Linked DNA regions of Cricetulus griseus. The protein of the gene in region 3 interacts with the protein of the main gene of each other region in a biochemical or structural test. Links are inferred from orthologs where the notes say so. Each region holds a gene or a part of one and is shown on either strand. Other genes may lie near its edges. The genes, in order: Ube2k, Pttg1, Anapc11, Ube2c and Ube2s.

What was found.
Region 1: the proteins of Anapc11 (region 3) and Ube2k form a complex in vitro, tested with the Homo sapiens proteins (3 studies listed by BioGRID). The link is inferred for Cricetulus griseus from reciprocal best matches to the Homo sapiens genes ANAPC11 and UBE2K.
Region 2: of the proteins of Anapc11 (region 3) and Pttg1, one has a biochemical effect on the other in vitro, tested with the Homo sapiens proteins (3 studies listed by BioGRID). The link is inferred for Cricetulus griseus from reciprocal best matches to the Homo sapiens genes ANAPC11 and PTTG1.
Region 4: the proteins of Anapc11 (region 3) and Ube2c form a complex in vitro, tested with the Homo sapiens proteins (66 studies listed by BioGRID). The link is inferred for Cricetulus griseus from reciprocal best matches to the Homo sapiens genes ANAPC11 and UBE2C.
Region 5: the proteins of Anapc11 (region 3) and Ube2s form a complex in vitro, tested with the Homo sapiens proteins (31 studies listed by BioGRID). The link is inferred for Cricetulus griseus from reciprocal best matches to the Homo sapiens genes ANAPC11 and UBE2S.

What each region holds. Positions count from the first base shown.
Region 1 is NW_023276807.1:132,627,667-132,632,595, forward strand, and holds part of Ube2k (ubiquitin-conjugating enzyme E2 K), read left to right. Parts: intron 1-2,158; coding exon 2,159-2,258; intron 2,259-4,907; coding exon 4,908-4,929. UniProt on the Homo sapiens protein: Accepts ubiquitin from the E1 complex and catalyzes its covalent attachment to other proteins. In vitro, in the presence or in the absence of BRCA1-BARD1 E3 ubiquitin-protein ligase complex, catalyzes the synthesis of 'Lys-48'-linked polyubiquitin chains.
Region 2 is NC_048600.1:58,114,575-58,120,389, reverse strand, and holds the start of Pttg1 (securin), read left to right. Parts: upstream 1-2,031; 5' UTR 2,032-2,099; intron 2,100-2,111; exon of another isoform or gene 2,112-2,581; 5' UTR 2,582-2,605; coding exon 2,606-2,693; intron 2,694-3,800; coding exon 3,801-3,979; intron 3,980-5,295; coding exon 5,296-5,392; intron 5,393-5,815. UniProt on the Homo sapiens protein: Regulatory protein, which plays a central role in chromosome stability, in the p53/TP53 pathway, and DNA repair. Probably acts by blocking the action of key proteins.
Region 3 is NC_048600.1:133,091,843-133,097,515, forward strand, and holds the start of Anapc11 (anaphase-promoting complex subunit 11), read left to right. Parts: upstream 1-2,052; 5' UTR 2,053-2,189; intron 2,190-2,202; exon of another isoform or gene 2,203-2,346; intron 2,347-2,697; 5' UTR 2,698-2,715; coding exon 2,716-2,824; intron 2,825-5,673. Other genes in the region: Alyref (THO complex subunit 4), read right to left, coding at 1,244-1,375, 1,699-1,932. UniProt on the Homo sapiens protein: Together with the cullin protein ANAPC2, constitutes the catalytic component of the anaphase promoting complex/cyclosome (APC/C), a cell cycle-regulated E3 ubiquitin ligase that controls progression through mitosis and the G1 phase of the cell cycle.
Region 4 is NC_048599.1:14,655,136-14,660,783, forward strand, and holds Ube2c (ubiquitin-conjugating enzyme E2 C), read right to left. Parts: upstream 3,447-5,648; 5' UTR 3,380-3,446; coding exon 3,279-3,379; intron 2,956-3,278; coding exon 2,928-2,955; intron 2,283-2,927; coding exon 2,196-2,282; intron 1,721-2,195; coding exon 1,516-1,720; intron 1,416-1,515; coding exon 1,356-1,415; intron 975-1,355; coding exon 913-974; 3' UTR 740-912; downstream 1-739. Other genes in the region: Dnttip1 (deoxynucleotidyltransferase terminal-interacting protein 1), read right to left, coding at 5,033-5,171, 5,277-5,332. UniProt on the Homo sapiens protein: Accepts ubiquitin from the E1 complex and catalyzes its covalent attachment to other proteins. In vitro catalyzes 'Lys-11'- and 'Lys-48'-linked polyubiquitination.
Region 5 is NC_048602.1:23,448,711-23,454,373, reverse strand, and holds the start of Ube2s (ubiquitin-conjugating enzyme E2 S), read left to right. Parts: upstream 1-1,841; 5' UTR 1,842-2,048; coding exon 2,049-2,051; intron 2,052-2,837; coding exon 2,838-2,985; intron 2,986-3,848; coding exon 3,849-4,039; intron 4,040-5,534; coding exon 5,535-5,663. Other genes in the region: extensin-like, read left to right, coding at 1-1,151. UniProt on the Homo sapiens protein: Accepts ubiquitin from the E1 complex and catalyzes its covalent attachment to other proteins. Catalyzes 'Lys-11'-linked polyubiquitination.

The DNA.
Region 1 (4,929 bases), on a different chromosome or scaffold from region 3:
TTTTTTTTTTATAAATATACTTTTTTATTTTAAGTATATTGGTGTTTTGCCATGGGTGTCAGATCCCCTTGAACTGGAGTGACAGTCTTGACTGCCATGTGGGTGCTGGGAACTGAACCTGAGTCCTCTGGAAGAGCAGTCACTGCTCTTAACAGCTGAGCTATTTTTCTAGCCCCAAACATAATTTTTAAAAAGAAGTAATTTAGTTACGGGAGAGAGGTCTTAGTGGCCTCTTTTTTTTTTTTTTTTTTTTAAATGAATTTGGCCTTTTGGTTGTATGTATGTGTGAGGCCATAGATGTTGAAACCTCTATACCTGTAATTAAAGACAGATGGAAGCTGCCATGGAGTCTGGGAACTGTACTTGTGTCTTCTAATGAGCAGCAAGGCCCTTAATCACCGAACCATCTCTCCAGCCACTGAAATTCCTCAAAAATTAAAATCAGAGTGATACACTCTTTCCGTGTTTTTGTGGTAATGGAAAGACAGATATAAATATTTAAGAGCTAAGTGTGGTTATATGTGACTTAATCTTTATTTCAGAGCTTATTATATGGGTATGGTTTCTGTGTGAAGGTCATAGGATATCAGTATGGATTCTGGTCTCTCATCAAACTTTCAACTGAGTTCTGGGGATGAACTTCAGTCTTGAGGCTGGTGTCATGAGTGTTTTTATCCACTTAGACATCTTATCAACTTCTGTGCTAAAATTTAGTATTACAGCTCTTGGTGGAAAATTAACATTGATGCTCTTAGGAAATTGAACACCTAGGTCTAGGTGGGGGGAGGAAAAAGAAAACATGGTTTGTTTTGTCAGCTAGGATATAGAACTATGTAGCTGTTTTTAAAGGTTTTGTTTTAGGACAGCATCTGTGTAGCTGAGGTGCTAAAACTGTGGGCCAAGCTGGTCTTGAACTCTTGCCTGCCTCTGCCTACAGTGATCTTTAGAGTAAAGGCTAGTACTACCCACCTTTGTGGTTGTTTTGTTTTGTTTTGTTTTCGAGACAGGGTTTCTCTGTGTATCTTTGGAGTCTATCCTGGCACTTGGCTCTGGAGACCAGGCTGGCCTCTGCCTCCTGAGTGCTAGGACTAAAGGCGTGCGCCACTAATGTCCGGCAATCCAGCTGTGTTTTCAAAGCTTTTAAAAGAACTCTGTGTCTTAAATGCTAGTTTAGCAGGTCAGCCTGTTTTTTGGTGTTTGCTGCTGTTGTCTGAGACACGTCTCAGTGTAACTCACAACCCTTTATGTAGGGACCTAAACTTAGGTTCTCTGCCAAAGCAGTACACATGCATAACTGTGAACCATCTCTCCAACCCCAAGTGATGATACTTTAAACAAAAATTTGTCCTATTTTGGAATATAACAGACTTATTTTGGAACTTCTAAAGGGTACTTTATTTGCTTGTTTTATTTAGCGTGTTATTAAAAGAGGTGGCTGGAGAGGTGGGTCAGTGGTTAAAGGCATTACTGCTCTTTGAAGGACCCAAGTTGAATTTCCAATCCCCATGTTGGATGACATACAATTGTGTGTAGTTCCAGCTGGAGGGGATCAGCTGCTTCTGGCTTCTGTAGGCACCTGTACTTATATGCACATAAATGAATATTCTTACAATTCAAAACAATAAAACTTTCAAAATCCCCATGTTAATATTAATAACTTTAATTATCTCTTTACTAAGAAATATGGGTAAGGGACTGGAGAGGCTGCTTAGTGGGTAAGAGCATGCGTTCCTGCAGAGGACTTGGCTTTGGTTCCTAGCACCCAAACAGCAGTTTATGATATCTGTAACTCGGAGTTCTAGGGGATCCAGAACCCTCTTCTGACCTTCTTGGGCATCAGGCACTCAGGTGCACACACATACATGGAGACAAAACACTCATACACTTAAAACCTAAAATATTCTGTTTAAGAAGAGAATGAATTATAAATGGAACCATTAGATAAAGCTTACAAGATAGGTAAGAGTAACAAAAAGAAAAAGTGAAGTCAGATAAGAATACAGTGATTTAAATTATCGAAGAAATAGGCTCATTGTAAGAAAAAAATGGCAATTATACACACATTAGTTAACTCTTATTTAAATTCAGAAAACATACACTTTGTTTAGGTCGTTCAGCACCCCCTTTAAGTGGTATGTTTTCCTATTTTGAAATTTAGGGCAGCAGCAATGACTCTGCGCACGGTATTATTGTCATTGCAAGCACTGTTGGCAGCTGCAGAACCAGATGACCCCCAAGATGCAGTAGTAGCAAATCAGGTAAGAAGGAAGTTTTTGAAAGACTTTCTTAGACCTGTGTATATGGATTTTAATATTTGATGTCAGCATATGAACATTCTATATTGGTACTAAATTTGGAAATGGTTTCATTGGATACATGACAGATGCTTTTCCCTTATGTATGATTGAATTCCATAGTGAGCACCTGTGTAGATTCTACAGTTAGCATTTACCACATGCACTTTATCATTTGTGCACTTTTGTAACCCTCTTTCTATACCTTACTGGCTTCTTCCTGGTGGTGATCATAATAACCTCCCACCACAGAAGTGGAGCTGATGGTAGTGGCATTGCAATGGTTTTCATGGGTGTTGAATGGAGAACTTTTTCCTTTTCTTTAATGCCTCTAAGGGTAAGGTAAGGTACATTCACACTGGCTGGTTTGGGCAATCTCATTTTATAGGAACAGAGTCATAACCATGTGTTTATTTTGATATCCAGTCACACTGTCTGTGGTTTGAAAGGTTTAAATTGTTAAAATCTATGTTTTAGTTCACCAACCTCTACTTTAAAGTATTCTGATTTACTGAGCATTTTTATTGTTAAACATCTCTCAATTTATGAAATACTTTCCTCTTCTCTCCCTATTTTTAAAGTTGATTCCCTGTCTCTGTCTCTCTAAGACATGGTTTATCTGTGTAACAGTCCTCCTGGCTGGCTGTTCTTGAAAATACAAAGATCCACTTGCCTCTGCCTTTTTGGCCATTGTTGTTCACTTTTTTTTTTTTTTTTTCCTTCCTTTTCGAGACAGGGTTTCTCTGTGTAGCTTTGAAGCCTATCCTGGCACTCGCTCTGGAGACCAGGCTGGCCTCGAACTCAGAGATCTCCCTGCCTCTGCCTCCTGAGTGCTGGTACTAAAGGCGTGCGCCACCAGTGCCCGGCCTGTTAATCACTTTTAATGAGAGCTATTGGCTCCTACTGTAGTTCCCCTTCCATTGTATGCACTCCCTGGATGATCAAAGCACCGTGCTTGACCTCTGAACCCCAGATCCTGCCTGTGTGGAGGTGTACTCTAATCCCAGCCATTGGCAGGCAGACACAGGTGGACCTCTGTGAGTTCATGGTCAGCCTGCTGTACTAAGTAAATTCCAGACCAGACAGAGTTAAAAAGTAAGACCCTGTTTCAAAACTAACAACCCAAATCAACTGTTATTCACTCATGACCTAACACTTACATTTCAGAGGTTTTCCATGATTTAAGCTATTGAACATGTTTTAACTCATAATGTTATTCGAATTCATGAATTTTTGGGATTGTAATCATTTTAATTTTTATACTGTTTTCCTTGTTTCTCCTTTGGGAAACATTTCTTATCGAATATCCTTATATTTTTTAGAACTGTCCCTGTGTATGTGTGCTTGCGAACATACTTGCTTGATGTCTAAGCGTGGGCATAGGTACCTCACAGCAGCCATGTTACCTAAGTTTCAGGCTTCAAACTGTTCTTGTATTTGTTTTTTTCCTTTGAGATAGGGTTTCTCTTTGTAGCTCAAATTGTCCTGGAACTTGCTTTGTAGATCAGGCTGGCCTCAAAGTCACAGATCCACCTATTTCTGACTCCTGAGTGTTGGGATTAAAGGTGTATGCCACCACTGCCAGGCTTTTAGTTATCAAATTCAACTTGTCAGGCTTATGCGGTGTCCTTAGCTGCTGAACTATCTTCCCGGCCCAAATTTCTTTATCCTTAAGTTCTTTAAGAACAAAACAAAAGGACTTATTTTTAAAATTATATATATATGTGTGTCTTTGGGTATGAGCATTTGAGTGCCAGTACCTGTTGAGGTCTAAATAAGGTAATATATCCTTGATTTTGGCCACCTAATATTGGTGCTGGGAAGAGACACCTCTTCAGGCTTCCCTTCTCTCTTCCTTCTGCTTGAAGATCTGCTTATTCTTTTTTATGCGTGCTTCCTTAGTTCCATTGATGGACTTAAAGTGCTTGGAATTAGGGCTTTTCGCAGTTTGCACATATGTGCTATTCATTAATAATTTGGTAGCAGACATCTTGTCTTCAGAAATTTAGCACTGATTTTCCTACAGATTTAGATGTAACATCAAAGCTGACTTTTTTTTTAAGATTTTATTTATTATGTGTACAATATTCTGCTTCCATGTATATGTGCACACCGGAAGAGGGCACCAGATCTCATAACGGATGGTTGTGAGCCACCATGTGGTTGCTGGGAATTGAACTCAGGACCTCTGGAAGAGCAGTTGGCACTCTTAACCTCTGAGCCATCTCTTCAGCCCCCAAAGCTGACTTTTTAACATCTAAAATAACTAATAACTTTGCTTGTTTGGTTACAAAGTATTGAAATACATATCTTTTTTTTTTTTTTTTTTTTTGAGACATGGTTTCTCTGTGTATCCCTGGCTGTTCTGAAACTAACTCAATAGACCATGCTGTCCTTGAACTCAAAGAAATCTGCCTGCCTCTGCCGCATTATATAGTAGGTGCTGGTAACTGAACTTCTGACTTTTGACTCAGTTAACAATACCATTCAGTGTTCCCCATAGCTCTGCCCAAATGAGTCCCATCTTAGATATAAATGTATTTTCTTTAGTTGAGATGCTATGTTAACTGTCACTGCATTGTCATGCTAATCGTTTTTTCCCCCTCCATGTAGTACAAACAAAATCCTGAAATGT
Region 2 (5,815 bases), about 75 Mb from region 3:
TCTTTCCGCGGGTCGTCACCACGAGGACTCACTGCAGGAAATGCCCGCTCCCCCGAGGCTCCCAGTTCGTCTGCTGAGTCTCGGAACCCTAACTTACCCAGTCCGGCCGCAGGCCACGCCAAAGCAGCCGCCGCGAACGAAGTAATCCGGTAATGTTTACTTCCGGGTTCCCTGTCTTCGTCCGGCAGCCCAGCGATAACTTCCGGAAGGACGACACATGCGCACTCTCAAGTGCTTGGAGATTTTTTTTTTTTAAACAAACAAGACCGCGGTCTGTGCAAGTAGTTCGTTGTGCACCCTGCAGGGAGAATGGTGGCAGTGCAGCTTTGTGCCCCCCGCAGGGTTGAACCCTTGTTCCTTCTAGAATTTTAGCAAAAATGTTTACTGAAAAAAACCAAGAAGGTAGGCATAATGGCCCACGCCTTTAATCCCAGCAGAGATAGGCAGATCTTTGAATTCCTGGCCAGTGACATAATAAGATCCTATCTCAAACAAACAAATTTAAATAGTCCCCCATAAGACAGAAAACATTAAACAAATTACTGGAAAATAGATTTTAGTGGAATTTCTTTCTTTCTTTTTAAATCATTGTTTTATTTTAGATGTATGAGTTTTCACATCATTGGCGTCAGATCCCTAAACCACAGGTCCTCTGCAGGAACAGCAAGCTCTCTGAGCTATTCCCTGGAAAAATTTCTTTGTGCTGTCTTGTGGTTATTTACGATTCCCCACATGAATTCCTCTTCAAATATAGATGAATATAGCTAACATCCCTGCCTCAGTCGAAGAGCCCAAAGTTATAGATTGTGGAGATTTAATTAGCCAGGCCAAAGCCAGAATGCTTTTCCAGAGGAATTACAGAACTTTCTGGACAAGAAGGAGTAATTGTCCCCCAGGTCTGAGTTCTCAAGAAGATTCTAGAGATACCAAGAAGGTAGAGGTCATAGCTGGTGAGTGTTTTTTGCAAAGCTGGATTAGAAGAAACTTGTATTAGCTAAGGACTCAGCATTCTACACGAGGGTAGTTTACCAACCAAAAGGGTATATTACTCCCCAGTAACAGGTGGGAATCACAGGGCTCAGCTAGGGACATCATCACTAAGAAAACAAATGGCCCTTTAAAGACACTGTGGTTATGTAATTTACTTGCAGTGGGACCTGGGCATAACCATGTTTCCTGTTGGTGAGAAAGGGAGAAAAACCTCTCAAGGAATTAGAGAATATCCATGTGGAAGCTGTGAGAATTTATGCAGATTTCTTTTAGAAACCAAAACTTTTGTGTGCTAGTGATTTAATATGAAGAAGCAGCATTTAGAAGGAGATGCAAGGAGAAAGCAGATTAAGGGAATAACAGGATTAGGGCAGAGGAAGGACAGTAAAGGTGTAAGTCCTTAGCTAATAAAAGGGAGTCCTGCATTTCAGAGTGTTACAAACCTCTCTCTGAAACATTGAGAAAACTTTTCAAAATAAAGGTACATTCCTCAAATTTTATCAGCACCATTTTTTTTTTTTTTTTTTTTTTTTTTTTTTTTGTTGTTGTTGTTGTTGTTCAAGACAGGGTTTCCCTGTGTAGCTCTGGCTGTCATGGAACTTGTTCTGTAGACCAGGCTGACCTCAAACTCACAGAGATCCACCCACCTCTGCCTCCTCAGTTCTGGGATTAAAGGTGTGAGCTAACACTGACTTTGGTCTACAGAGCTAAACTAGTTCCAGGACAGCTCGGGCTGTTGCACAGAGAAACCCATCACCCAGACTGGGTCACATGAAACCCTGTTATAAAAAAAAAAAAAAAAAAAAAAAAAAAAGTCTTACAAGTTTAAAGTAGCGAAACGACGTTTTTGTTATTGGACCAATGCTTCCTCACAGGTCCACACTGTGGATAACAAAAAGTCCATCAGGAGTTTTGAGCAATGTATGACCCTAGTTTTTTAATTTCTGGGAGAGAGAGAGAGAGACGCTGGAGGGGGGCGGTAACTAAAAACTTCGGTTGGTCTCATTGGTTGTCAGACTCTAGGCCCCGCCTCCTCTCGCATGGTCCAATTGAAGCGCGAGTTGTGTTTTAAACCGCGGAGTGCGGTGTCGTTGGTGGCGCAGTCTTGGGTGAGTTTAGTTGCTGTGTGAGGGTGTTGTGCGTGAGCTCCGGGTGGCTAGGGGCAGACTGGAGACCGAAGCAGGGTCGGGATCTGAACCTCACTCGGCCCCGAGTCCCTGGGCGCTCTTGACGTGCTTGACCCGCGGCGACGCTGTTTTAATTTAAATTTTTTTCTCCCCTGCCTCCCTCTTCAAGGTCTCAAGCAGCCCCGGCTGGTCTCGAACTTGTTATGTTCTTGAGACCAACCCTGAATATCCGAACCTCGTGCCTTCTCCTCCCTAGCGCTGCGGTTACAGCCGGGAGACAGTTTTGATGGGTGCCAACTTCACTTGCCTTCTCTTTAGGAGTTTAGTATTTCTGACTCTGAAGGTTTTAAGGTTCTTAAATTGAAGGTTTAAGATTTAGTTTAATTCTTATTTTTTTGTGCACATGTGTCCTGGGTAGACTTTGGTCTCCGTTGCCGCTTAGCTCTTCATGCCTTCCCCAATAGGTCTCTCCTCTAGAGTAATCCAGGATGGCTACGCTGATCTTTATTGATAAGGATAATGAAGAACCAGGCAGCCGTTTGGCATCCAAGGATGGGTTGAAGCTGGCGTCTGGTGGTAAGTATTGGCTGGCTTCAAATATACAGGTGTTGGGAGTGGATGATGGTTGTGGTCTAGAGACCATAGCATTTAGTGTACTTTGTGGTTGATTAGAGTCAGGTTTCATATATTTTCATGCTTATTATCTTTTTAACTTTAGAAAAGGTGTCATGTAGTTCAGACTGGCCTCTACTTCCCTTTATAACCTAGAGAGATCTTGAACTTCTGAGCCTTCTGCCCCCACCTGCCCAGTGCAGTGATTATAGGCATGGTCACCATGCCTGGTTTATGCAATGCTGTGGATTGAACTCGGGGCTTCTCAAATGCTAGGCAAGCACTCTACATACTAATCAAGTCCCCAGGCTCTATGCTTAATCTATTTGTTGAAGCAGAAACCCCCACCCCCATGTAGCTTTAACTGGATTGAAACTTGCTATGTAGATCAGGCTGGCCTTGAACTCAGAGATCCACTTGTCCTCTGCCTCCTCAAGTGCTAGAATTAAAGACACATGCCTGGCTTCATGATTATTGTCTTTTTTTTTCCCCCCCAAGACAGGGTTTCTCAGTAACAATCCTGGCTGTCCTGGTACTTGATTTGTAGACCAGGCTGGGCTTGAACTCACAGATCCACCTGCCTCTGTCTCCTGAGTTCTGGGATTAAAGGTGTGTGCCACCATGCCTGGTTGTCAGATTATTGTTTCTGTCAAGGTTTCTCTATGTAGCTTTGGAGCCTGTCCTGGAACTCAGTCTGTAGACCAGGCTGGCCCTGAACTCACAGAGAGATCTGCCTGCCTCCCGAGTGATGGGATCAAAGGCGTGTGCCACCACTGCCCGGCTTCATCTTACTGTCTTACTGAGGTTATTTAACAGTGTGCTAAAATGCCAAAAACAAAGCATGGGTTTGTGAGTGAGAACTGGGTCAAGTTGAGGTGTTTATATGGCCTAATCTTTAAGAACACCATATTTACTTACATATTTGTATATGTGTGGGGGCATTCACACATGTTCCATGGTGTGCCTGTGGGAGTCAGTTCTCCTTACACTTTGTGGGGGCTGGGGATTGAACTCAGGCAGTCAGGTTTGGCAGACTTTATTTATTCTCAGGATTATACTTTTTCTCAATAGTCAAAGCCTCAGATGGGAAATTGCAGATCTCAGCGCCACAAGTTGGCAAAGTGTTCAATGCTCCAGTCTTGCCTAAAGCCAGCAGAAAAGCTTTGGGAACTGTCAACAGGGTTACAGAAAAGCCAGTGAAGATCAATAGACCCCTCAAACAGAAGCAACCAACTTTGACTGTGAAAAAGGTGAGTTCGGGATAGGAAGATGGGGGGTGTGTTCATGCTTTAGCACCTAAAAAAAAAAAATTATTATTTCGTATGTGCATTAATGTGCATGTGTGTGGGCACCCGAGGACACCAGAAGAGGGCATTGGGTGCTTTGGAACTGGAAGTACAGGCAGTTAGTTGTGAGCTGCCTTACATGGGTGCTAGGAACTGAATCCAGCTCCTTTGGAAAAGCAGCAGGTGCTCTTAACCATTGAGCCATCGCAAGCCCCGCTGTAGTACTTCTGATGCTTAAAAATGGACTTCTAGGTCTTCTACCTGGCTTTCTTCCAAGTAGGAGATAAATAGCGGTCCATAAACAAACGAGCAGAGGAGAATCACACTGTGTACTGCTCCTGGTTGCTCAGCACCCTTGAGATTGTAACTAATGCCTCAGCTCTCCTTAACAAGTTTCAGGAAGCAGCTGGTTAGAAGCCACCAGCAGGTGTGTGAAGTACTCAGCTGGGTTTGATAGACACCTGCAATCCTAACACTTGGGAAGCTGAAGCTGGAGGATGGGCTGGTTGGAGGCCAGCCTGAGCTACAGCCCCACCTCCAAGTCTGGCACACACAAATGTATGAGATAAGATCCAGAGCACCCAGGTTTCTGTTTTGGCCTACTGCTATTGTCAGCCTGGTATTCTTCAGATGTTTTATGTTTTGCTGCTGCTTAAGCCCATATATTTAAGGGAACATAAACTTCTTAATATTAGCCAGGCAAATGATTAAGGTAACAGTGGCAGAAAAATCATACTTTTATAAGGTAAAAATGACTCCCAGGATTGGCTACTATTCTGGGGTGCCTCAAGCCTATCTTCTCTACTGTTAGGTTTGAACAGTCGAGTTGATTAACTTAACTTAAAAAAAATACTTAGTTTGTATGTGTGGATGTTTGCCTGTGTGGTATATGAGTGTACCATGTGCCTGAGGAGGAGATAAAGGAACATTGATTCCTTTGAGCTGGAGTTACAGATAGCTTGAGCCACCCTGTGGGTGCTGGGAACTGAACCTGGATCCTCTGTAGGAGGATTAAATGCTCTTAACCACTGAGTCACCCATCTCTCCAGCTCCTTAGCTTTTGTATCTGTGTAGCGCAGGGCCTGCTCATGTGATGGCATGCATTTCAAGGTCGGTGGACAACTTCCAGGAGTCACTTCTCTTCTTGTCTTTTGACTGAATCCTGAAAACCAAGGATCAGAACACAGAATTGACAAATTTTAAAGTGAAATCATCATTTGAAGAGGCCCTCCAACCTCACTTCTATTCTCACAGGTGCTTATTCTCTTGGGTTTTTCTAGACCATTGAGAAGGCTCCTAAGACACAACAAGTCTCTGTTCCTGCTTCTGATGACGCCTACCCAGAAATAGAAAAGTTCTTCCCCTTCAATCCTCTAGGTAAGGTCTTTGTATGGTGGAAATGCCCTTGGCTTGAGATTCTCTTAGACTCTAATGTCATGTGACTGTAATGTATTGCTCCAGACTCTGGGACTATCTGAATAAACAGACTTGTTCAGGTGGAATCACTTGCCAGGGTATCACCTTCCGGTCAGGGGGAGAATGGGAGCAAAGATGTTGAAGAAAATCAGAAGCTCAAGGTCATCATTATGTGAGTTCAAGGCCAACCTGGTCTACACAGCTATGTGAGCTCCAGGATAGCCAGGGCTACATAAAGAGACCATGTCTCAAAACGGTGTACCATTTGATATCGCCTCTGATGTCATCAGAAAGGGCCAAGTGTAGCTGGGCTTGGTGGTGCACGCCTTTAATCCCAGGCAGAGGCAGGCAGATCTCTGAGTTCGAGACCAACCAGGGCTGTGT
Region 3 (5,673 bases):
AGTAGCTGTGAGGGTTCCTGGGTGCTACTTTACTGACCACCACCCAGAAAAGGGGCGGGGCAGAGGCAATCAAGAGGTGAGGGAAGGGTGTCACTTTGAGCACCTGGGTTCCTGTCCACGTTGGGACGTGTGTGACTGTACCATGATGCAGGTGAAGGAAGCACACAGAAACTACCTCTCTCTCAGCAAGGGCACTCACAACCTGACTAATGGCTGTTTCATCAGATAGCAAAGGCCAAGAGAAAAACCAAGGGAAGCTGTTCATAGAGCAGACAGCTCAAAGGGCCCACTGATTTGGGGAGCTGTGACCCAAGCCCCTCCCCCAAAGGCAGATTCTGGCTCACCTTTCCCTCTCCTCCTACTCAAGCCTGCTGCAAAGTCTGAAGTCAAATGCGCCATGGAGACTGCCCTGACCTCAGGCAGGCTGGGAGTTGGAGAGGGAACCCAGAGTGTGGGGCTACTTCGGCCGCAGGCACACAGCGGGAAGTGAAGTTCACCAAAAGCGGTTTCCAGTGGATGCCAGAAACCACCTTAAAAAAAGTGTGGAGACACTGTGAGTGCTCACTGGCCTTGCTCTATGCTCCCTGACAAGGCCAAATGGCGGGGCTCTGAGAAAGGGAACCCAGAAAGGCCCAGCACCCATGACCCAAAACTAACTCCTAAAAACCTGCTCTGTTAACTCTAATTGCATTTGAGGGCCAGAAGAAAGACAGAGAGAGGGAGAGAGGATAGAGATGGGGGGGGGGGGAGAGAGAGACAGACAGACAGACAGACAGACAGACAGAAAAAAAGACTTCAACCAAAGGTATGAGAACAATGCCCCTGGTAAGACCCAGGAAAGGTCAGTCTGGAAGACACACAGCCACCATTCACCCCTGTGCCTTCAGACATGTGGGGGTGGGGAGAGTTTTCCTTCTCATAAGCTTACTACTACAGGCACAAAGCCTGAGAAGCTAGCACCCTCGGTCACACAGGGACCGGACTTGTGGCCAGTCTGTGCCCGTTAGAAACTGTAAGCCTTGCAGACGGCAGGTGCTCGTGACGTTAGCAGACAAGAGCCACTCTGGGGGCACACCAGGCTGCCTTCCAAGCAGCCTGACCTATCAGTCACATTCAAACCCCAGGGGATACTACTTTTTGTGAGGGCAGCGGCTGGCCCTTGGGCAGCCTGGGGGAGCACAGGCTCTGATCAGAAGGGATTCTGTGTGTGGGGATAAGCATGCGGACGGCTCTGGTCTCTTACCTGAATATCTGCGTCTGACACTCCAAAGTCAAGGTTTGACACCAACAGTTTTCCGCCGGTCTCCACGCCGGCTCCACCCCCGAAGCCGCTGTCGAACAGATCGTGCTGCCATTTGTCTGGAAGTTGTTTCGGCTGAAGGGAAAGAGAGGTTCGTGAGCGACCTCGTCTCGGGCGCCCCGATCCCTCCCCGGCACTCACACTCTCTCTCTCACGGCGGCCCGAGAGCCCGGAGGAGACGACCCCCACGCCCGCCGCTCCGCCGCCACGAGGCGGGACCGGACCGGACAAAGCGTCCCGGAAGATCCCGGCCTGTGACCGGGGCCTCGCTCACCGCGCGGCGTCGCCCCCGCCCACCCTCCGTTCCGTTCCGTTCCCGCGGTTCCCGCAGGACGCCCGCCCGCCCGCCTCAGGGCGCCGGGAGCCCGCCCCGCCGGCGCCGCGCCTCCCGTGCTCACCCTGCTGTAAGGAGCCGGCCGGTTCCTGCCGCCGGCGGCGGCGCCGCGAGAGATGGCGGGCCGGTTCCTCAGAGGCCCGCCGCCTCGGTTCACCCGCGCGGCCGCCTGCACCGCCCCGCCGCGGCCGCCCTGGGCGCCGGCCCTGCCACGGCCCCTGCCTCCGCCGCGGCCGCCTCGCTGGCTCCGGTTCAGCTTGATAATATCGTCCAAAGACATGTCCATTTTGTCGGCCATGGCGGGCGCGGAATCGGGCCTCAGATCGAGCCCGCGCGTCAGCACGTCGCTAGGTCACTTCCGGAGCTTCCCCTGGTCTTCCGGCGTCGCGGCCCCCGAAGCTGCCCCTGATTGGCCTCGGCGCGCGCGGAGAGCGGAGGGCGCCTGCGCTGCGCTCAGGAGGACGGCCCGCGCGAGTGTGTGGCGCCCGGCGCGGCGCGGTCGTTTTTATACCTCCCGCGCTCCTGCAACGGAAGGGCGGGGCGCCGCGAGATTAGGTGGAGTGGGCGAGGCGTGGGCGGGGCCTGGCCTGGGATCCGCCCTGCGCAGGCCGGAAGGCGCCGGATCGAGTTCGGTCCGTCCGCCCGCCGAGTCCCTGAGCTGCGAGGCGGGGGGCCGATCTGTGGATCCGATTTGGGGTTTGTGGGCTCGAAGGGATGGTTTTTTAAAATTTAATTTTATTTAAATTTAGCAAGCTGATGGCTTGTCACGCGCGGGTTGTGAGTGAAAACCGAGGTGTTTTTCATGGATGCAGTGGTTTTTGTTTTTGTTTTCCTCCTTTGGTTTTGGGCGGATCTGCCTCCGCGGCGCTGAGGTTAAAGGCGTGAGCCAGCCTGGCCCGCTACCTGGGTGCACAGCTCTAAAAACGACCTTCAACATAGCAAAACAACTTGGGAGCCTGGCTCCCTGGAGGCGCCTAGCACGCAGCTCCCCGCCTTAAATGCTCAAGTGCCGTCTGTGGTAGTAATACAGAGTAACTTTAGCCAGGAAACCCTCTTCCCTCAGGTCGCACGCTCTGCTGCCATGAAGGTGAAGATTAAGTGCTGGAATGGTGTGGCCACGTGGCTCTGGGTAGCCAACGATGAGAACTGTGGCATCTGCAGGATGGCGTTTAATGGCTGCTGTCCAGACTGTAAGTGCCCCCCCTCCCCCGTGCTCTCAGAACTTCGGCCAGCTCCACCAGCCTTGAAAACCTTGGGTTTCCCAGCACTAGGGAGGCAGAGGCAGGAGGATCTCCGAGATTCCAGGACAGCTAGGGCTACGCTGAGAAACCCTGTCTCGAAAAACTAAGAAAACCAGAAAATAAAACCGTGGGTTTTACTTTCCATTTCCTGAAGGAAAGTTGACAGAAAATAAACGAATTCTTCAAACTCACTTTTGTATAAAGACCCTATCCAGCATGGTGGCAAACATCTGTAATACCAGCATTTGGGAGCAGAAACAGGTAGCCTCTGAGTTGGAGGCTACATAATGAGAGTCTGTCTGTAAAAACAAAGAAAAGCAAATAAACAAAAACAACACTTTTGTTTTTGCCAAGGCATGGTGGCACAGACAGAGGCAAGAGGAGGCTTGAGTTTGAAGCTTGCCTGGGATACATTGTGATGATTGGTCATTCTCTTAATTCCTCAAAATGCTACTTCCAGTTTGAATTTTCTCCAAGCAAAGCAGAACAAATGAGGATACCCCTGCCCAGCACACTGAAGTTCAGACAGCAGTTTCCATACTTTAAGTTGATGCTTATAAACTATGAGCAACTTAAGCCCCGTGTCTCACAAAGCTGCTCTAGCATCCTCGTTCCAGCATCTTTCCCCAAATGTCTTGTTATTGGGGTTTGAGCCATTCTTGACATCTCAGGACTCTCAGCTCTCTGTTCTAAATACTTCTTACTATTCTTGTTTTCCAGGCATTTGAGCTTTATGAATTTAATGTTTTTCAGAATGCAAAAGGTCTTTATTTATTTATTTATTTATTTATTTATTTAGAGACAGGTTCTCAGTATGTAACCCTGGCTAGATTGAAACTCATTATGTAGATCAAAGGTCACAGAGATGCCTGCCTCTGCATCCAGAGTGCTGGGATTAAAGGTATGAACCAATGTGATCTCCCAGCCTGGTTTATCAGCCCAGAGTTAATCATCTTGATGCAATTAAAGAGCTGTGACTTGACTTTTTTTATTAATTTATATTTTACATTCGAATCCTAGTTCCCCCTTCTGCTCCTCCCACTCCCCCCCCATCTGCTCCTTGGAGAGGGTAAATCCTCCCCTAGGAAGTCTACTAAGTCTCCCCTATCATCTTCTTGAGGCAGGACCAAGGCACCTCTCCACCCCCACACCCCTGTGTCTAGGCTGGGCAAGCTATCTCTCTATAGAGAATGGGCTCCACTGAGTCAGTTTGTGTATTAGATTAGCTCTTGGACCCACTGCCACTGGCCTCATATTTGTCATTTGTCTTTTTTTTTTTTTTTTTTTTTTTTGAGACAGGATTTCAGTATGTAACCCTGGCTAGCTTGAAACTCACTATGTAGATCAGTCTGGTCTCAAGATAAAAGAGATCCGCCTGCGTCTGCATCCAGAGTGCTGGGATTAAAGGCGTGTACAGCTCAGATCACCTAACCTGGTTTATTGGCTAAGAGTTAATTATCTTGATGTAATCAAGATAATTATCTTGATGTAATTAAAGAGTCTCTTTTCCTTTTCTTTTTTGATTTTTAAGACAGGGTTTCTTAGAGTCCTGTGCCACCACTGCCCAGCAAGTGTGAGTTTCTTAGGAATTCATTGATTTTTCTGGTTTAAGTTTTTATTTATAACATTTGTGATTAGTAACTGAACACACAGTTCTAGTTTTTATTTTCAACAGAACACTTGTAGATTTTTGTTGTTTTTTGTTGTTGTTTTTAAACAATTTTTTAAAGATTTTATTTATTTATTATGTATACAACATTCTGCTTCCATGTATATCTGCACACCAGAAGAGGGCATCAGATCTCATTTTGGATGGTTGTGAGCCACCATGTGGGTGCTGGGAATTGAACTCAGGACCTCTGGAAGAGCAGCCAGTGTAACCTCTGAGCCATCTCTCCAGCCCCAATTGCTGTTGTTTTTTGAGACAGGGTTTCTTTATGTAGCTTTGGCTGTCCTGGAAGTATCTCTGTAGACCAGACTGGACTCAACTCACAGAGGGCCACCTGCCTTTGCTTCCAAGTGCTGGGATTAAAGGTGTGTGCTACCACTGCCTGTCACAAATGTAGGTTTATTAAGGAAAAATAAGAAGGAACTCTCAAGAGTGTGAAGGCTAAAGGGAGGGAATACTCTTCATCATTCAATTAATTTCTCATTTGATGGTACTGGGTATTGAGCACCGGGCCTAGCATGTGCTGTGCAAGTTCTCTACCACTGAGCTGTATTCCCAGCCCATTTTATTTTATTTTATTTTATTTTATTTTTGAGACTAAAGGCGTGTGCTACCACTGCCTGGTTAGAAGGAATCTTTATTTAACAGAGCCACAAAGAGTATAGGAGTCAGAGGACAATGGCTTGTTTGTAGCTTCTGTAGCATTAGACTGTTAACTTGTAAAAACTTTCAGGAGGTTTTCCAGCCACTCCCACCTTCAGGCAAAGGGTGGAAGTTAAATCTGTAGATTGAAGGTGACTCCATTGTCCCCAGAGCTACCCAGTCTTACCTGGGCATAAATGACCCACACATGGGGCTGCAGAACACAGTCTGGATTACCCCATCTAGGTCTGTGACAAAAGGGATGACCAGAAAGCATGTCTAGGCACTTAGTGTCTCATATGTGTGAGGTAAACTCAGGCCTGTTGGCCGTGTAGAGTGGGAGACTTAGTCCAGCTCATAGCTGGTTCAAGTGAGAGGGAGTTGACTTTAATGTGCCCAGCGCTGATAGGCCCAGTGTGTTTTCTTGATAGATTCTGTAAGCACCAGATTTCTCACAGATTAAACTCCTGTGAAAATTAAGTTAGCA
Region 4 (5,648 bases), on a different chromosome or scaffold from region 3:
TTGTCCATATTTTGATTGATAAAGCTCTATGCCCAAGAGAAACACTAAGAATACTAGTTTCTGAACTAGTTTCACATGTGGCTGTAGGGAAGGTCCCAGGACTGAGCACGGGCTAACAGTAGTTAACAGACCAGACCTGTCTCTTTCCACAGGCCTGTACAACCAGCTGCTTGCAGAGCTGACAACTTAGGCAAGGTTTGTCACCTCATGGAGATGGAGCAGGAACCATCTGTGGGAGACTTGGGTCCAGAGCTCAGTCTTTTCCGGAGCTTTGGCCTGCTGTAGGGCAACCTGAACACCTCCTCCCATTTAACATGTTAGAAAGTGGGTGTCTAGTGCTCCCTCTCTCTTACAGATTCCTGAGCTAAAGGGTCTGGTTTAACCTCATCTGTAACCCAACAGTCACTGTACATGCTGTATGTAACTCCTCACAAATGGACATTATTTCTGGTGCTGGAATTGAACTCACGACTTCACAGGTCTTAAACATGCTCTCTGCCAGGGATCTATACCTTTGGGGAAATACATGAAGAATGTATGCGGCATGATAAACTAAGACACAAGGTAGCATCCTAGTGAGTGACCACTGGGCCCCATTGTCTATCAGCTGCTTCCAACCCTGTAAGGAACAGGCCAATATCCAGATGTTAAGTTAGCCCCCCTCTTGTTCCGAGTACCTCTGGCTGAGGATAACTCTGAGACAGCAATTTATACAAAAATAATCAACTCTGAGGCAGCAATCTGTACAAAAACAATCAATGTGTATTTATTTAATATACATTGTAAGGGCTCAAATAGACTTAATTTAAAAAAACAAATAAAACAAAAATAACACCACAGCTTAGAAACCAAGGAAAGGACAGACCATCTAAGAAAAAAAAGACGACACAAAAGAGAGGCTGGACATCTTGGTCAAGGGTCTTCTTGACTGCAGACCTGCTTTGAATAGGTTTCCTGCAGGTACTTCTTAAATGCTGGAAGAGAGCAGCAGGTTTCAGGCGAGTGATGGGATAGATGGGGAGGCTGGCAGGGCATTCTCCCTGCAAAGTAGACCCCCCTCTCCCAGTTGCTCTCTAGTTGGCTCCTTTACAGACTTGTTCCCCGAGTCCAGGAAAGGAACAGGAGACAGGGTTTCTCTGTGTAGCCCTGACTGTCCTGGAGCTCTCTGCAGACCAGGCTGGCCTCGAACTGAACTCAGATCCACCTGCCTCTTCGTGTACCACCACCAGGATCAGAGAAACATTCTATCCAAAGATCCCTTTATCTGTTTGAGTATGGGATCAGCAGCAGGGCAGATGCAGACGGAGTCCAGTGCAGACCCCCAGAGTCCCTTTGGAGGCCAGAGAAGGACCTACCTGTGGGGTTTTTCCAGAGCTCAGCAGCATGTGTGTTCAAAGGGCTCTCGATGTTGGGTTCTGTGGATGGAGTGAGAATAGTCAGGGGGACAGATAGAGGCTGACTCGGGGCCGTGACCAACAGCCCTGGAGTGCAGGAGTGAGTGGTCTCTGGAGTTACCTCCTAGCAGACTCTGGATGGACAGCAGGATGGTCCTGACATCATACAGTGCGGACCACTTATCCTTGAGGATGTCCAGGCAGATGTTGCCCTGGGTGTCCACGTTGGGGTGGTAGCAGGGTGTGAGGAACTTGACGGTGGGTGCGTTGTAAGGGTAGCCACTGGGGAACTCTAGTGAGAGTTTATACCTCAGGTCTTCATATACCTGGCATTTGGGGAAATAAGGGCAGAGTTAAGTCCCCTGCTCACCCTCCCATCCCACGCCTCCAGCCCCACATTCATTCACTCCCCAAATAAGAGTCTGAATCCGGCCAGCAGACAATGTGTGAAGTTGGTCCTAGTACCTTCTTCCTATCAGGGGGTTATCAGTGACCTTTCGGTCAAAAGATTGAGACTTGGCATCCTGAGGGCCACCAGAATAGTTCAATTAGTATCTTAGTCAAGGTTGGCTCAGATCCAATCTCTGACTTAAATCCAGATCTGCAGCAAAGGGCAGCTGCTTGTGGCCCCCCTCCACTGCACCATGGTCTAGAGGAAAGAGCCCTTCCCATGGCACTCAAAGCAAATGGCCACAGGGCTCAGGCATGTGTGCAGGCCCAGGGAACTGAAGCCAGCCTAGCACTTGGAGATCACCTCCTCTGCCACACTCAAAGTGACACCCGCTCCCACAGCATACTCACTGTGCCGGCTGCTCCATGGATGGTCCCCACCCATTTGAACAGGTTGTCTGATTCAGGGAAGGCGGAAATCCCTTTGTCACCAGACATCTGGGGGGAGAAAACACCCAACTGCAGGATTCCAGAGTGCGCTTTCAGGCATAGCAAAGTCGATCACTGGGTGAGCCTGCCCGATATAGTCAGGTCCTAAACAGAGCAGCTAGAGCCAAATCACAGGTTGCTCACTAGGCTAGGAGGAAGGGTTGGTACAGGAAAGCACATGGTATTCAATTTGTTTGTTTGGAGCCTGTCCTGGAACTCCATCTGTAGACCAAGCTGGCCTTGAACTCAAAGATCTGCCTGCCTCTGTCTCCTGTGAGTGCTGGGATTAAAGGCGACCACAGCCCGGACTGAATTAAATGTTTAGTATGGCATTAGAACTTGTGGATTGACATTTGGGGTAATGCAGCAAAGGACCACCAGAAGAAGGAATTCCAAGGTCTGATGGGACTAGAAATTTCAAGAAGGGTGGGGATGGGTGAGGTTAGAGCTGGGGCCCAAAGGAAGATAGGGGTGAGCCCAGATAAGCCTCCTATGATGGCGAAGGTGGCTGCTGTAATCAAGTAAGGGTGGGTGTTCAAAGGATTGCCCACAAGAGAGTAAATTACACCCATCGGATTAGCAAGGAGCCTGAAGTAGGAAAGAAGGCTCCGGATAACTGGGTGGGGGATGGGATGGTGGGCCAATCGATCTTACCATGAGGGTCATCAGCTCTTGCTGTAGCCTGCAAAGAGAAGTAAGGGTCATTTGGGGGCATGGGTGCTGCCGAGGTGCTACATCACCTCCCACCCAACTATCCTGAGGAGCTGTCATGGAGGCCTCGTCCCTCCTTCAAAGGCAGGCTAAGCTGGGACACACTCGTCATGCACAGGAGGACCGGGTGAACCTCCTGCTGCATGTTGACCTCAGCGCTCCTAGGGCGTCTTCTGAGAGTCTACTGGCAGCGCCACCAGCCTTTCATGTCCTGCGTTTCTGGTGCCCCTCATGTGTCCCAAGTCTCACCGGCTCCTGGGGGTGAGGCTCCGGGGTGACCTCCGCACCACTCACCTCTTGCCCACAGGGCCCCGGGCTGCGCCCCCGCTGGGCTCGGCTCCCTTGCGAACGGCTGCGACGCTGGCGGCGGCTGGGTCGCGGTTTTGCGAGGCCATCCCGGGAGCGCTGGCACCGTAGCAGAAGTGCGGAGACGAAAGAGCAACTGCGGGGCTGCGGGCCGCCGCCCGCGTTTGAATCGCAACCCTCCCGCAGCGCCAGCCAATCACAGACTCGCTTGGGTTTGATCCAGCCAATGGGACGCCCCGGAGCGCTCTGCTTCTGCGCAACCGCTGGGCCACCCAGTTACGCGCTGCGATTGGACGGCGGGGGACTAACTCCAGGCAGCCGATTGGAGGAAAAGGCTGCCATTAACTAACGAACTGGTAGCGGATTGGTGGCCTTTGGACGACGCCAACCATTAAAGGGTCAAGGAATCGCCCACGTGCACCCCTCCCCCCGCGGGTTTTTTCGGGACTCGGACTCCTGTCGCTGTCCTGTAATTAGGCTGCGCAGCCAGGTATGAACTTGACTTCTTGATCCCCCCCTGGCCTTCACTTCCTAAGTGATGAGGTTATACGAAAGAGTGCACCGCATGTCCGGCAGTGATTGGACCTCTGTCCAAACCCTTGGGCCTTCAGGCACACACCCAGCAGGCATCATCTCTTCCGGAAAAGGGTGTCTAAGAGCTTGACATTTTTGTCTCCCTCAAGCTGGAAATCTTTTCCCCTCACCCTGTTAAGTCCCTTCTGTTTGGGTCCCAAGAACTTTTAAAAAGCCCAGGAAGGTAGGTGAACCTAAGGCTGCAAGTTGGAGCCGACTCCCTATTTATTAGAAAACGTGGGTTCAGGTGGTGCATGCCTGTAATCCCTTGGAAGGTGGAGACCTGCAGGTCAGGAATTGAAGGCCACCTCTAGGCTAACCTGGTCTATATGGGACTCAAGAAAACAAAAACATCTTTAATCCCAGCACTCTGGAGGCAGAGGCAGGTGGATCTCTGAGTTCGATGTCAGCCAGGATTACACACAGAGACCCTGTCCCAAACACCCCCCTCTTCCCAAATGTAATTCATATTACGGTTCTCCAGTAGGTTTGCTGTGCTACCTCTGTAAGTCAGGGTGTTAGCCTGTAACTTTGGGATAATAAAGTGCAAATCCATTTTTCCTTTGGTAGGTCATCAAACCCCCATGGGGTTTGCCATCACATTGTACAACACTCCTAAACTGGAACAAGGTCAGGGGAGACTGGCAAAGAACAGGTTTTGCCAGGTGGTAGTGGCTCACACCTTTCATCTCAGCACTTTGAGAGGCAGAGGCAGGCGGATCTCTATGAATTTGAGGCCAGCCTGATCTACAGAGCTAGCTCCAGGACAGCTAGGGCTGCTACACAGAGAAACCCTGTCTCCAAAAACAAACAACAACAAAAAACCCTCCAAATTTTTCCTAGTAAGATGGGGGTGGGCAGGTAGGTGGTCCTTTTCAGAGGTGCCTAGTACTTCAGCCCTTGTTCTATCAGCCCTAAGGCAGGCATCACAGCAGGCTCACCATTTGTGTTTATTACAAACTGTTTAATTGCTTCTTAGTCCAACAACTTTAAAAACACAGAACCACATGCCAGTCTGGGTGCTCTTCAGTGAGTCACTACAAACTAGCTCATGTACAGCTTAATGCTGCTAAGATCCAATTAGACCCAGTCCCCAGGATGGCCTCAGCCGGTCGGGGAAAGAGGGTCTTGGAGGCAGGCTGCCAAGTGTAGTAGCCAGAACACCTGGCTCAGGTCTGGGGTGGCGCTTCAGCAGCACGATGCTCATTTTCTGTCCGTAGTGTCTCCATATACTTCCGCATCTTTTCAACCATCCAGGGGGGAAGGACAAAGGATTTCAGCTCCTCCAACTTCAGGTCCAAGCATCCTCTGGGGGAGACATTGTAGGGATGTTAATGGGAGGGTGATGGCCTCATCCGTGTGCGTGCCTACTGAGGCAGACGGGAGTATAGGGAGGAGCCCCTTTGGTTTTACCTGTAATCATCACTGGCAGCCAAGTCTCGGATGTCTTCCTCAATGAGAAGGTAGGCCTGGAGGCAAGGGGGAGTGATTAAAGCCTCTGAGTCATTTCTCAGCAGTTCAGAAACACTCTTATTGTGTAAAGCCTGCTACTAGACAGACTCAGGATGAAGTTTACAGATTACCTGGCCAGAGTACAGAGGAAAGCATGGGGGATGGCCCCTTGAGAGTGTCTTTACTCAAACAGAAACTTTACAGGGGGAGGAGCAGATACCAGTGACTAAGGAAAAAAAGTTGCTCAGACTGTCCCTGAACGACACTGCCTCCTCAGCCTCCTGAGTAGCTGGATTTCAGGCATGGCTTTGGTGATTAATTTATTTATGGCTC
Region 5 (5,663 bases), on a different chromosome or scaffold from region 3:
ACCCCCCAGACCCCCTCCACCTTCAGTGGGGACCCCCAGACCCCCTCCACTTCAGTGGGGACACCCCAGGCCCCCTCCACTTCAGTGGGGACACCCCAGGCCCCCTCCACTTCAGTGGGGACCCCCCAGACCCCTCCACCTTCAGTGGGGACACCCCAGGCCCCCTCCACCTTCAGTGGGGACACCCCAGGCCCCTTCAGTCCACCTTCTCCACCTTCAGTGGGCCCCCTCCACCTTCAGTGGGGACCCCCCAGACCCCCTCCCAGTCCACCTTCAGTGGGGACCCCCCAGACCCCCTCCACCCCCCAGACCCCTCCACCTTCAGTGGGGACCCCCCCCCCCTCCACCTTCAGTGGGACCCCCTCCACCCCCCCAGACCCCCTCCACGTTCAGTGGGGACCCCCCAGACCCCCTCCACCTTCAGTGGGGACCCCCCCAGGCCCCCTCCACGTTCAGTGGGGACACCCCAGGCCCCCTCCACGTTCAGTGGGGACCCCCCCAGACCCCTCCACCTTCAGTGGGGACACCCCAGGCCCCCTCCACCTTCAGTGGGGACACCCCAGGCCCCCTCCACCTTCAGTGGGGACACCCCAGGCCCCCTCCATGTTCAGTGGGGATCCCCCAGACCCCCTGGGCCACACCCAGGGGCGGCCACGCCCTGGCTCTCAGCACCCTGCTCCCCTCAACCGCCCGTGGAGGCCAAGGTCAGGCTCCAGCGCCCTCTCCTGCTTGCGGGCGGCCCCCAAGGCCTGCCCCGGGGCCCAGGCAACCGAGTGACTGTCCCCAAACTGCCACACGGGGGGGGGGGCCTGGCCAAGGGCCAAAGGCAAAGCCACGCCCTGAACAACAGGACGGTGGCACTTCCCTCCCTGCTCCCCCCTGGCTGGCATCCCGGGATTCACAGACACAAGCCACACCCCAGGGGCGCGGGAAGTGCGAGCCTTCACAGGCTTGCTCACACACAACATGGGGGCCGCGCCACAAAATGGCGCCGCGCGGACAGCCACGCGCCCGCTTCCGGCGGCCACCCACCTCACCCCCTTCCCTCCACCGCACCCCGGCCGGGACGCCAGCCAACGCGCGCGCGACATTTGCATAGCGAGAAGACACGGAGGGATTTCATTGGCCAGCGGCGGAGTCCATCACGCTAAGCTCCCTTCCCGTTGGGAGCTTTCCAGTCCTGCCCCGCCCCCCAAGAGGTGGGGGGAAGGGAGAGAGAAAAAAAAAAAAATCACCACCGGCCCTCCCTATTGGTCAGTGGCCCGTCCGTCACTCGTTTTAAAACCCCAGCTAAGTCCCGCCTCCCCTCGCCCCGCCCCGTCCTCTCTGGCGAGCCGACCGTTAGCCGCGTGCGCGACTTCCTCCAGGCCGGAGTGCGCGCGCGCGCACGCGCGGGCGCGAGCGCGAGCGCGAGAAAGCGCGCGCACGCTCGGGGCGGGGGCGGGGAGGGTGGGGGAACCGAGGGGCGGAGCGGCGTCTCATTCAAACGGCCCAATCAGCGGCCTCGTCGCCGCCGAGGGGGCGGGGCCGGCGCCCCCCGGTTCTCCTCCGGGCTCTGGGCTTGCAGCCTCTTGCTTCTCCCCCGCGGGGGGAATGGCCTCCTCGGGCGACGTGAGCCCTCATTGGACGGCTCGGCGCCACACGCCCCGGGCTGGAACTTCTCCCGCGCGCCCTCCCGACCCCATTCTGAGAGGAACGTGCGTGCGCGTTGACGTCCGCCCGCCGGGGCGCGCGGGGCGGGGCGGGCGGGGCTGGGGGGGGGACGGCCGGGGGCGGGGCCGGGGAGCGGGGGGGGCGGGCCCGCGAGCGGCTAAAAAACGCCGCGCCGGGCGCGCGGCCGGCTCAGTGCGGCCGGGCAGGCGTAACGTTGCGAGCTCCTCTGTAGCGGTTGTCGGAGTTGAGTCCGGGGGTGGGGGGAGCGGAGCGGGGCCTCGGGGGGCCTCGCTAGGGCCACAGCGGCCGGCAGTTGGGCCCCCCGCCCCGGCCGGCGGTTCGAGGAGTGCAGGCAAAGGGGGGCCGGGGGGACCCGCCCCCGGTCGGCCGAAGTCATGGTGAGCGGACGCGGGAGGCCCGGCTCGCCCGGCCCGGCCTGGCGGGGCGGTTGGGGACCTGGGCAGAGATGGGCGGCTGCGTCCCGTCCGGTCCGGTCCTGGGGGTGCTCCCTGCCGGATTCTGGGTGCTCTCCGAGGCGGCAGGGCGGGGAGTCGGCGCTGAGGCCTCCTTCCTGCGGGCGCTGCAGGAATGCGAGCGGGCGGGCGGCGGGCGGGCCTCGGAGCCTTGGGGAGCGCTGGGCCCCTTGCGGGCCCGCCCCTCGATGCTGTCGGGAGCCAGACATCCCGCCGCCATTTCTTCGTCCAGCGTTGTTTTTTTTTTTTTTTTTATTAATTTTTTTTCTTTTTCCTCTCTGGCGTGGTGTTGCCAGCTAAGTAGGGAACGGGCACAAGCTAGGCCTCAGGCCCACCTGGCGCCACTAATGGACCCACGCGCGTCTCAACGATCGGTCTGTGCGAGGCTTTTTTCTTTTTCTTTTTTTTTTTTTTTTTTCCATTTTTGAGTACGTGAAGCCCATTTCCCAGGCAGCCTCCCGGATCCGTGGGCCCGCCAGCCTGGGCGGGGGCAACGGCCAGAAGCAGCAGCAGCAGCACCCTGCGGGAGGGCCTAGTTAGCCTGCGATGATTGATTGATTGGCTGATTGACTGATTGATTGATTGATTGACTGACTGACTGACAGCCTGGGACCTGCAAGGTTACGATTCTGCCGTCCGCCGGATTTTTTTTTTTTTTTTAAATCCCAGACATTTCGGGCTGCTCATTTCTCCCTTTTCGCCCTTGCCCAGAACTCCAACGTAGAGAATCTGCCTCCGCACATCATCCGCCTCGTGTACAAGGAGGTGACAACGCTGACGGCCGACCCTCCGGATGGCATCAAAGTCTTCCCCAATGAGGAGGATCTCACGGACCTGCAAGTCACCATCGAGGGCCCAGGTGGGCGTGTGCGTGTGCGTGGGCGCCAAAGGCAGTGGCCACTTCTTTTCTGTCGTGTGACTGGAACAAACAGGATTCAAGGCTATCTCTCTGGTGGTGGCTGGTGACAAAGTGTGGGTAGGTCAGTCGCAGCGTTGTGCCCGTGAGTATCCGGCACATCGCAGATAACAACAAAAATATGGAGACGTCCCTGGTCACTGAGCGTGGAATGGAGCGTCTGCCTTGGCTTGGGCTAAGGCTGTCAAGTGTGACTTTGCGGGGCCCTGAGGATGCATAGGAATTAGAGATAGAAAGTGCCCCGGGTGATACAGATGATCTGAAACAGCTATTCAGCTGCCAGGTGTCTGGGCTCTGGAAGCATTGCAGGGCAAACAAGACTCAGCAATGTGAGGGAAACGGTTGTGTGAGATAAGATGTCACTTTTCATCTGAGTTCCTACAAAGTCAGGGTGTTTGAAGTGTGTGGTCCATAGTGCTGGGGTGTGGAGGGCATCTGCCCAGCTACTGTTGAGTAAGTGTAGAGCGTCAGTGATTACCATTTTCCACCCAAGTAAGGAGGTAAATGACAACACATCCCATGAGGATCTGGAAAGGCCTCGGAAATGGTTTGCAAGAAAAGTTGGTGGGTTGGGTCCTTTTGTCTTGAAGAGCTGGCATGTGCCTGAGACACTCACTTGGAAAAGAAAATGGATATCCAGATGTGTGGGCTGTATAATACAGTCAAGGTATAAAGGGGTGGTGCCTGTAGTACCTGGGAGACTGTTCTTTGTTGCCCTAATTTCCTCAGGCAGAGCCAAGGAAACTTGGGTGTTGAGATGTTGAAGGATGCTAGGAATCCTAACCTAGTTCCCTCCTCTGTTCCAGAGGGGACCCCCTATGCTGGAGGTCTGTTCCGGATGAAGCTCCTCCTGGGCAAAGACTTCCCTGCCTCCCCACCCAAGGGCTATTTCCTGACGAAGATCTTCCACCCAAATGTGGGTGCCAATGGTGAGATCTGTGTCAACGTGCTCAAGAGAGACTGGACGGCTGAGCTGGGCATCCGACATGTGCTGCTGGTGAGTTCAAGCCTTTTTGGAAAGTAGTGGAAGGGTTGCCCTGTGGCACCAAGTGCTGTCATGCAGTGTGGGTTTGTGTGATAGGGTGGTTTCATGGAAGGTAGTAGTGTGTGGGTTAGAGGCTTTTTGTTTATGTGTCATAGATTTCACCAGTAACCCAAACTACCCTTGGACTTGTGATCCTCCAAGCATATGGGTGAATAAGAAACTCCCCCAGAAGCTGGGCTTACAAGATTATGCCCACCCTACTCAACTAAGTAGAATGGGGTTTGTTGTGGTATGTTGTTGGGGGGTGTTCTAGGGTCTTTTTGTATGGTTTTTGTTTTGTTCTTTAACCTTGCTGGTGCAGCCATCACCACTATCTAATTCAGAATTGTTTTCCTGAGGTAGTGTTTTTAGCTGGGGTTGATTACACTGCCTGGGACGACCTTTTGTAATGTCAGGAGATAGCTTGGTTGTCAGTACCGCTGCTGGCATGTTGTGTGTGGGTCAGGAGACACTGATTTAGCATGTGTTGTGTATAGGGCTGTTCCACAGTTCCAGTCAGTCGGGGTCGGGATGGATACCTGGCCTAGGCCAGAGCTCCAAGGTCTCTAAAGGCCACTTAAAGTGGTTAGGTGGCCTGGTGCCTCCTTACCCCTGCCATTCCAGTGAGTCTCTGGGGCTGATGGTAATGAAGATAGAGAATTGGGGTTTCCTTTAGGGCACCTGGAAAGGATTAAGTTCCAAGGTAAACAACCCCATGTCAATTGAGCTTGGTCTGTCTCAGTGCTGGAATTGTTAGCTCTGGCTATGGGGTCTGCTTCTCAGCCTGTTAGGATAGGAAGCTGTGTCAAGGATGGCCAGGCCTCCAGTTTGGATGTGTAGTGGTAAGATCTGAGGGGGAGATCAATCCTGCATCCCTTTTCAACATCAGTAACGTCTACTAACTCTTGGGTGTGTCACAGAAGCACCTGTTAGCTATCACTAACTCGGGACTAACATTTATTTATGGAGCCTTCTGAACTAACATTTAGATAGACTGAACTGGATTAAATAGACACAAAATTCTTAAGGCCTGTGGTCAGCCTGGTGTTTTTTTCCCTCTTGGGTGTAATCTGTTCCTATGGCTCTGAACTTGGCAGCTTGGCCTTCCTGGTAAAGCCAGTGACCAACCACTATGGAAAACCAAATGAGTTCTCCAATCCTAGATGCCCTTAGTCCCAGTTACTACCTCTGAACTCATGCTCACCTGTAGAGGCAAGGTCAAAGCTACATTAGCTACCAGAAAATTGTCTGGGGCTGACAATGGTCTCCTGACGGAAGGGCCTCTGGCAACATCAGGCTGTATTTGCCAAGGCAGTGGTCCCTTGAAATGTTTGTAGCAACAGGAAAACAGCCTGTGGTGCTGACATGCATAAGAATGCTAGTAGGCTGGTTCTGGTCTTGAGAGAGATGATTTGTGGAGGCCATAAGTGTGGACAGCACCCCCTGACACTGGGCCCTTTCCCCACAGACCATCAAGTGCCTGCTGATCCACCCTAACCCAGAGTCTGCGCTCAATGAGGAGGCAGGCCGCCTGCTTTTGGAGAACTATGAAGAGTATGCTGCCCGGGCCCGTCTGCTCACAGAGATCCATGGGGGT